Linked DNA regions of Saccharomyces cerevisiae S288C. Each later gene encodes a partner of the first gene's protein in a complex. Each region holds a gene or a part of one and is shown in the gene's direction. Other genes may lie near its edges. The genes, in order: SPP2 and PRP2.

Evidence for each region.
Region 2: the proteins of SPP2 (region 1) and PRP2 are in contact, whole or in part, in a cryo-EM structure (PDB 7DCP), measured with the Saccharomyces cerevisiae proteins. Residues at the interface, in NP_014791.1 of Saccharomyces cerevisiae: Ile73 (codon at 2,420), Lys74 (codon at 2,423), Leu75 (codon at 2,426), Ser76 (codon at 2,429), Glu77 (codon at 2,432), Leu88 (codon at 2,465), Val89 (codon at 2,468), Glu90 (codon at 2,471), Val92 (codon at 2,477), Glu96 (codon at 2,489), Tyr97 (codon at 2,492), Asn98 (codon at 2,495), Val100 (codon at 2,501), Pro101 (codon at 2,504), Val102 (codon at 2,507), Glu103 (codon at 2,510), Phe105 (codon at 2,516), Gly106 (codon at 2,519), Asp107 (codon at 2,522), Leu109 (codon at 2,528), Leu110 (codon at 2,531), Met113 (codon at 2,540), Gly114 (codon at 2,543), Trp115 (codon at 2,546), Gln140 (codon at 2,621), Ile141 (codon at 2,624), His142 (codon at 2,627), Pro143 (codon at 2,630), Asp144 (codon at 2,633), Gly145 (codon at 2,636); in NP_014408.1 of Saccharomyces cerevisiae: Lys170 (codon at 2,549), Tyr171 (codon at 2,552), Asp172 (codon at 2,555), Tyr173 (codon at 2,558), Pro413 (codon at 3,278), Glu414 (codon at 3,281), Ala415 (codon at 3,284), Asn416 (codon at 3,287), Tyr417 (codon at 3,290), Ile418 (codon at 3,293), His419 (codon at 3,296), Ile422 (codon at 3,305), Thr423 (codon at 3,308), Lys454 (codon at 3,401), Ile458 (codon at 3,413), Lys461 (codon at 3,422), Leu462 (codon at 3,425), Pro519 (codon at 3,596), Gly520 (codon at 3,599), Phe521 (codon at 3,602), Thr538 (codon at 3,653), Pro540 (codon at 3,659), Phe565 (codon at 3,734), Ser569 (codon at 3,746), Leu574 (codon at 3,761), Leu595 (codon at 3,824), Thr600 (codon at 3,839), Asp601 (codon at 3,842), Leu602 (codon at 3,845), Ile603 (codon at 3,848).

What each region holds. Positions count from the first base shown.
Region 1 is NC_001147.6:608,140-611,400, reverse strand, and holds SPP2 (spliceosome ATPase-activating subunit SPP2), read left to right. Parts: upstream 1-2,203; coding exon 2,204-2,761; downstream 2,762-3,261. Other genes in the region: SMP3 (glycosylphosphatidylinositol-alpha 1,2 mannosyltransferase), read left to right, coding at 13-1,563; MDM32 (Mdm32p), read right to left, coding at 2,926-3,261. UniProt on the Saccharomyces cerevisiae protein: Involved in pre-mRNA splicing; specifically in the final stages of spliceosome maturation. Promotes the first step of splicing.
Region 2 is NC_001146.8:643,820-648,991, reverse strand, and holds PRP2 (DEAH-box RNA-dependent ATPase PRP2), read left to right. Parts: upstream 1-2,041; coding exon 2,042-4,672; downstream 4,673-5,172. Other genes in the region: uridine kinase URK1, read right to left, coding at 55-1,560; CSE2 (Cse2p), read right to left, coding at 4,799-5,172. UniProt on the Saccharomyces cerevisiae protein: Involved in pre-mRNA splicing. Is required together with ATP and at least one other factor, for the first cleavage-ligation reaction.

The sequences.
Region 1 (3,261 bases):
ACTTGGAAGTGTATGATGAGGTATCAATGGTGGCTTTATTTAGTATATGCCATCGGCCTAATGCTATGCCTAGGCCCGTCGTATATTCATCCAGATGAACATTTCCAATGCATCGAGATTTTGGCTATGCAGTTCATGAAGGTCAAAGGTACCATCCCATGGGAATTTAAATCAAAATTTGCTGCTAGGAGTTACGGCCCCCTATTATTGGTTTACGGGCCTTTGTTCACTATTTTAGAATCTTTTCCCGAAATTCAGGACAACCCAGCGTTAATTCTGTATTCGATGAGACTACAAAACTATGTGATGTACCTATTGTGCTATCATTTTTTAATACCTAAATTAATAAGGGATGAGAGAAAGGCCGTACAATTCATCAAAAAAAGTCTACTTTTAACTTCTTACGTAACCTGGACGTACCAAACACACACGTTTTCCAATTCCATAGAAACGCTGGCTTTAATCTCAACTTTAACTGTAATGGAAGATATGGTAAACGAAAAAAATATTCAAAGAAGTAATTTCAAAAATTCGGTTATATTGGGACTTATATTTAGTTTTGGTGTTTTTAATAGAGTTACTTTTCCTGCATTTATTTTCTTACCATGTTTGATATTATTCTGGAAGTTTTACCGGGTCCATTGGAAATCCTTTTCTTTACTTTTACTTTCATTTTCATTTTCCTCGTGTCTATTTGTTCTTATTGATACAAATATTTATAACAACGGAAAGGGATTTGTCATTACGCCCTTGAATAACCTGAAATACAACCTCAATGTCCAAAATTTGCAAGTACATGGATTACATCCAAGATACACCCATCTGCTGGTCAATTTACCTCAAATAGTTGGCCCAGTATTGCTGCTAGCGATTTTTTCCGGTTACAAACTCGATAAATTATCTACTTACGCAATCATATCTGGCCTGCTTTTTCTTTCATTCTTTCAACATCAAGAATTAAGATTCCTTGTACCGCTAGTGCCACTACTCGTGACAAACTTAAACTGGACACCTCTGAGTTCCACGTTAGTAAACAAGAAAATTTTCAAGGGAACTTGGCTTCTTTTTAACATAATCATGGCGTTCATCATGGGAATTTCACATCAAGCAGGAATTATCCAATTTTTGGGAGATTACTTCCACTTTCGTACCGAACAAATGGGCGTTCACATATGGTGGAAAACATACTCACCACCCACCTGGATGTATATGAGCAATAACCTAACCGTTTCTTCTCTTATCAATACACAGGATGGTATTGAGTCGATAGATGAAGTGGCATTCAGTGTAGGTAACCATCATGTAATAGACCTTAAAGGCTGTGATTTACCACTTTTAACAGAAACAATTAGGCGGCTGCGTTTAAACGGGTCCATAACTCCACTAACTTTAGTAACTCCCAATTCCATGACATCAGAATTGAAAAAGTTGAAGAGAGATGGCACTATTAACTTAATACCCAAAAGAAATTACTTGTTCCATTTGGATTTGGATCATCTTGATTTCAATGATTTCACGACTTTTAAGCCAGGGCTAACAGTGTACTCCATCGAACTACTATAAGACCAGCTATATGAGGAGTTATGCATATATTATGGCTGTGAATTTAAGTTTAAATGATCTTATCCTAGGTATTCTTATAAAAAAGAAGAGTGCTTTAATCGAGCAATGGTTAACTATTTGTTGCATACTCATTTTTTCCCATTGAAATCTCTAATTGTAGGCTGATACAAACTCGGTACTCAGCTCAAGATAGGATTGTTAGTTCTGATATGCAATCTTATTAATCTATGTATAGTACACAACTGTATGAAAACCTCCCGAAGTCTAAGTAAAGCTCCATTGATGTTCTCTTGCTGTTAAGTATTATATTACTCCATAACCAAATCTGTGTTCACACGTACTACAAGCTTGACATGATACTGACCATAGTACATGTGCAAGTTATTCAAACTAAGAATTACAGAGCTTCATTTGTCACAGTCACTTCATACTACTATGCTTCTAATGCTTCTAATATTTATGCATTGCAGGTTCAACATGCAACACTTGGGTTCTCAATGATCTGGCGCTATCATTTGTTACCCGACCGTGCGTAGAAAAAAATGTAAAAATATAGGAATAGCTGTTTTAAGTTATTAAGGTAATAATGCACGTCGAGCGATGGTAGGTAAAATGTCTAGAGGCATATCTAGGATGTAGAATGAGCAAGTTTTCACTTAAGTTGGGGAGTAAGACCTTGAAAAAAAATATTTCCAAGAAGACGAAAAAAAAAAACTCATTACAGAAGGCCAACTTATTCGATTGGGATGATGCGGAAACTGCAAGCCTTTCGCATAAACCTCAAAGTAAGATAAAGATTCAAAGTATTGATAAATTCGATCTTGATGAAGAATCATCTTCTAAGAAGAAATTAGTGATCAAGCTGAGTGAAAATGCGGATACCAAAAAAAACGATGCTCCTCTGGTGGAATATGTCACCGAAAAAGAATATAATGAGGTACCTGTCGAGGAATTTGGAGATGCTTTACTTCGGGGTATGGGGTGGGAAAGTGACTCCGAGCAAGATTCTAAAGGCGACAAGACACAGAGTCGAAACAAGGACGTTTCAAATGTTTCACAGATACATCCTGATGGACTGGGAATTGGTGCCAAGTTAAATAAGGCAATAAACGTGGAGGAGGCTTCATTTATGCCCGTCGTAAAAATCGATAAAATAACGGGCACTAAAGTTGATGACGACAAAAAAAATAAGTCATGAGAAAGTTTGAATATATAATTTAAAGTACTTGGTATATACACATTATATTTTATGCATGTTCCGAAGGAGGTATTTTTAGTTTGGCTTTTTTTTCTTATTTTTTCTTCAATTTACTTGATAAATGAAATGCAAGGAAGTTCAGTTTGATATTATATAAGCAATAGTCAAACCATGGCACCAAACCCAAACAACAATAATTGGGATGCAAAGGTAGTACCCCATTGTTTCATCCAATCATTTTTGTTTTTAAACTCCCAATCTTCTACTATTTTGGTTAAATCAACATATAGCTCCATGGTAATTTGGTCTAGTATTTGATTAATGTTAATAAGCTGTAAATCTGACAAGTTTTTGACCATCTTACAGCGTAAAACAATTTCGTTTGCATTAGTATTTGGTTGATTATGAAACTTGATGATTTCCTTCGTGGAATTGGAAGTGACTTTTGTAGTTAAAGGATAAGATTTCCTTTGCCTATTAATCGATACATTTGGCGAGTT
Region 2 (5,172 bases), on another chromosome or scaffold:
GTATGTATACGTGCACTATTATTTAATTTTACTTTATATTGCCTCTAATTATTCTCAATCACAACCAAAATACTTTGAATCAAAAAATCTGGTCAATGCCCATTTGTATTGATGATTTTGTAACTTTTCTCTGGAGATGATCATACCAGCAAAAATGTTGACTTTGTTATCAAATGCATTTAATATACGTCGGATACCAACTTCAGTGGCCAAATAAACCACCACGCTAATCTTTTCCAAATCAATACCATGATCTAAAAGCACCTGGATGGCCATGATCATGGCCGCACCACTTATGATTTGACCTTCCATTAAGAAAACCTTGCCAAACTTTTCTATATTTGGGGGTAAAAATTCGCAATGCAGTTGAGGTTCCCCAGTTTGTGAATCGGACTGAATCAACAATTTACCAATTGTGATATTGGGGATCGTCTTTCTCAAAGACTTCATAAAACAATCGCCAGATCGAATAATATTAACAGCTGTAACTTGATCGAATTGACAGGCAATAACGTTTTCCATGGTATGCTCACCAGGTGTAATTATGTTCGTATGTGCTACAGGAATGTCATCAAGTGCCCATGATAACAAAATTGTTGCTAACCTGTCAAAGTAGAAAACAAAGTCCGCGCAATTTAGATTTTTATTTAGAAGCATAGTATGCAGCGAAAGAACTTGGTTGGTGGGCGGCAATTCATGAATTATGTTACGATTAAGCACATCTTGTGAAGGAGAAGAGCCCAATTTGATTAGCTCTCTTAAGTGTTCATTTGATTTTAGTTCCAGTTTTGACTTGATGTGGTTAATGATTAAATTTACCGCTGTAGCATTATCACTCATCGATGGAATGATAGCATCTGCATTCTTCATTGTTGGTTTCACAAACTTTACCGCATTTGGTTTCACAAATTTCTCCCATTGTTGAATACAACCATCCAAATCTCTCCCTCTGGAAACTATATCTCTCGACAATCTTCTTGCTAAGCAGACATCCAAATCAGCGTCAACATAAATTTTCAAGTCCATCAAATCCAGCAATCGGCGATCGTAAAGGGCGTAGATCCCTTCGATAACTACCACACTGGCCCCGTATATGACTATATTTTTATCAGGAACTCTATTGTGGTGGACGAAGCTATAAACTGGGATATTTGTCCTTTTGCCCTCCTTTAAGTTCAAAATGCACTTATATGCCAAATCTAAGTTGATGGCATTTGGCTCGTCGAAATCGTATTCATTTTTAAAGGCTCTGGCTCTGTCCTCTGGGCCTAATGGATTGTAAAAGTTATCCAAAGATATTAATACTGTCCAGGGAACATTAATTGACGACACAATCTTAGCAGCAACGCTTGTCTTGCCTGAACCTGAAGCACCACCTATACCTATTATATATGGAGTTGTCCATGGTGGGATATACCGAGAGCTTTTTCCTTTTGTTTTTTTGACATCTACTTCACCATCCATGACTGCATTAGCTTTCAATGTGTCTCTTGTTTCATCGTCTAAAATTGAAATAAATGATGAAGATCGTTCTTTGGAAGGTGCTATACGATGGGACATAATAAATAAAATAAATGCGAGTTCGAAATTAAACGTATGAAATTATCGAAGATGTCGCATATAAATAGTAAATAAGACGTTATCCAAGGCCTACAGCCTTACGAAAAAAAAAAAAAATCACATCTCTTATCTTATCGATCTAAATTTTTCAGTTTCCTTTTTTCATCTCGAAGCTCATCGCATGAAAAAAAAACTTCGATATGTGAGCGTATTAAGACAATAGAGGAAATAGTGAGAACAAGTGGGAAAATTAAAGACTAATCATCGAAAATATGCAAGAATTCTTTAAGTGCTCGTATCTCAAATGTAGCCAAAACAGTACTAGCCCATACAACCTGATGACGAGAACGTGCTGAAAGTGGAAGACAGTTAGTTACCCGGACAATTAAAAAGTGATATTAATCAATTGTATAAGTAATAACGGATAGCTGCTATATGTTTAATTGGCATCTATATAGATAACAAGCGTGTATAGCAACACATGTCAAGTATTACATCTGAAACCGGTAAGCGAAGAGTGAAACGAACGTATGAAGTTACAAGACAGAATGACAATGCAGTAAGAATAGAGCCTTCTTCCTTGGGTGAGGAAGAAGACAAAGAGGCCAAGGATAAGAACTCTGCCTTGCAGCTAAAACGATCACGCTATGACCCCAATAAAGTTTTTTCTAATACGAACCAAGGTCCAGAAAAGAACAATTTAAAAGGAGAACAACTTGGATCACAAAAAAAGTCATCAAAGTATGATGAAAAAATAACGTCAAATAATGAACTTACTACAAAGAAGGGTCTACTAGGTGACTCCGAGAATGAAACTAAGTACGCCTCTTCTAATTCTAAATTTAACGTAGAAGTTACTCATAAAATAAAGAATGCAAAAGAAATTGACAAAATAAACAGACAACGCATGTGGGAAGAACAACAATTGCGAAATGCTATGGCGGGGCAAAGCGATCACCCTGATGATATAACATTGGAAGGCTCTGACAAGTACGATTATGTGTTCGACACAGATGCAATGATTGATTATACTAATGAGGAGGACGATTTACTACCTGAAGAGAAACTTCAATATGAGGCACGTCTAGCACAAGCTTTAGAAACTGAGGAAAAGCGTATACTGACTATACAAGAGGCAAGAAAACTTTTGCCTGTACATCAATACAAGGATGAGCTACTACAAGAGATCAAAAAAAATCAAGTTTTGATTATAATGGGTGAAACCGGTTCTGGTAAAACCACACAGTTACCCCAATATTTGGTAGAAGATGGATTCACTGATCAGGGAAAGTTACAGATTGCCATAACACAACCACGTCGTGTGGCGGCCACTTCTGTTGCTGCAAGAGTAGCAGATGAAATGAATGTTGTGCTTGGGAAGGAAGTGGGTTATCAGATCCGTTTTGAAGACAAAACAACCCCAAATAAAACGGTTCTAAAGTATATGACGGATGGTATGTTACTAAGAGAATTTCTTACAGATTCCAAATTAAGCAAATATTCTTGTATTATGATTGATGAAGCTCATGAACGTACTCTAGCCACAGATATCCTGATAGGTTTGCTGAAAGATATTTTGCCGCAGAGGCCCACTTTAAAATTGCTTATATCATCAGCAACAATGAACGCAAAAAAATTTTCAGAGTTTTTTGATAATTGTCCCATTTTCAACGTTCCTGGGAGAAGATATCCTGTAGATATCCACTACACATTACAGCCGGAGGCAAACTATATACATGCCGCTATAACAACTATTTTTCAAATTCATACTACGCAAAGTTTACCGGGGGATATATTGGTGTTTTTAACGGGGCAAGAAGAAATTGAAAGAACAAAAACCAAACTGGAGGAGATCATGTCTAAATTAGGTTCTAGAACAAAACAAATGATTATAACTCCTATATACGCAAATTTACCCCAAGAGCAGCAATTGAAAATTTTCCAGCCGACTCCGGAAAATTGTAGGAAAGTTGTTTTGGCAACTAATATTGCGGAAACTTCATTGACCATTGATGGTATTAGATATGTCATTGATCCTGGATTTGTTAAGGAAAATTCGTACGTACCCTCCACTGGAATGACCCAACTTTTAACAGTTCCATGCTCAAGAGCTTCAGTTGATCAGCGTGCCGGTAGGGCTGGTCGTGTTGGGCCGGGAAAATGTTTTAGAATTTTTACCAAATGGTCATATTTGCACGAGTTGGAACTTATGCCTAAGCCTGAGATCACAAGAACAAATCTTTCTAATACGGTGTTATTATTATTATCGCTTGGCGTTACTGACCTAATAAAGTTTCCCCTGATGGATAAGCCCAGTATCCCCACATTACGGAAGTCTTTGGAAAATTTATACATTTTAGGTGCCTTAAATAGCAAAGGGACAATCACTCGGTTAGGTAAAATGATGTGCGAGTTTCCTTGTGAACCTGAATTTGCAAAAGTGCTTTATACAGCTGCTACGCACGAACAATGTCAAGGTGTACTAGAAGAGTGTTTGACCATAGTTTCGATGCTACATGAAACACCTTCATTATTTATTGGTCAAAAAAGAGATGCTGCGGCAAGTGTGTTAAGCGAAGTGGAAAGTGATCACATATTGTATTTGGAAATCTTCAACCAATGGAGAAACTCTAAATTTTCCAGAAGTTGGTGTCAAGACCACAAAATTCAATTCAAAACGATGTTGAGGGTAAGAAATATTAGAAACCAATTATTCAGGTGCAGTGAAAAGGTTGGATTAGTTGAAAAGAACGACCAAGCCAGGATGAAGATAGGCAATATAGCGGGCTACATAAATGCTAGAATAACTCGATGCTTCATCAGCGGGTTTCCGATGAATATTGTACAATTAGGCCCCACCGGCTATCAAACCATGGGTAGGTCATCAGGTGGGCTGAACGTTAGTGTTCATCCTACCAGTATACTTTTCGTTAATCATAAGGAAAAGGCGCAGAGACCAAGCAAATATGTGCTTTATCAACAATTGATGCTAACGTCGAAGGAATTTATCAGGGACTGTCTAGTTATCCCTAAGGAAGAATGGTTGATAGACATGGTTCCACAAATCTTTAAAGATTTAATTGACGATAAAACAAATAGGGGGAGGCGGTGAAGGTTTTTTGACAGGTGTATGTGTATTGCTAGAAACGCAGGCTCCATTCTATATGCACGTTTGAAGATGTGGTATGCGTATGTATATATATATATATATATAGACTAAAGATAGATAGCATAGATTTTATCGTTGTAACTTGCGATAAAGATCATCCAAGACGTCTCTCTTAATTTGCAGTTCTTGTTCACGTTGATGGATGATATCCTGCCATTCTGATGGACTTTTACTTAATAAATCCTTGGTATCTTCGTTTTCCGATATCAAAGATTTACAAAGTTTCAAACGATGTCTAATCGAACCTGTTAAGGTTTCCAATTGATTTGAGAGATTGTTTGGATCCTTCCTTATTTGGTGCAGCGAATAAAAAATATGCGGTATAAATTCACCGTTGGAACTGGTGGAGGGAGTACTCAGATTTTTCGGCTGCTGGTTGGTAAGATAGTCTTTTTCATCTCTATTTTCTGCAGACGAAAATTCTTCCTTTGTAGCCTCAGCAT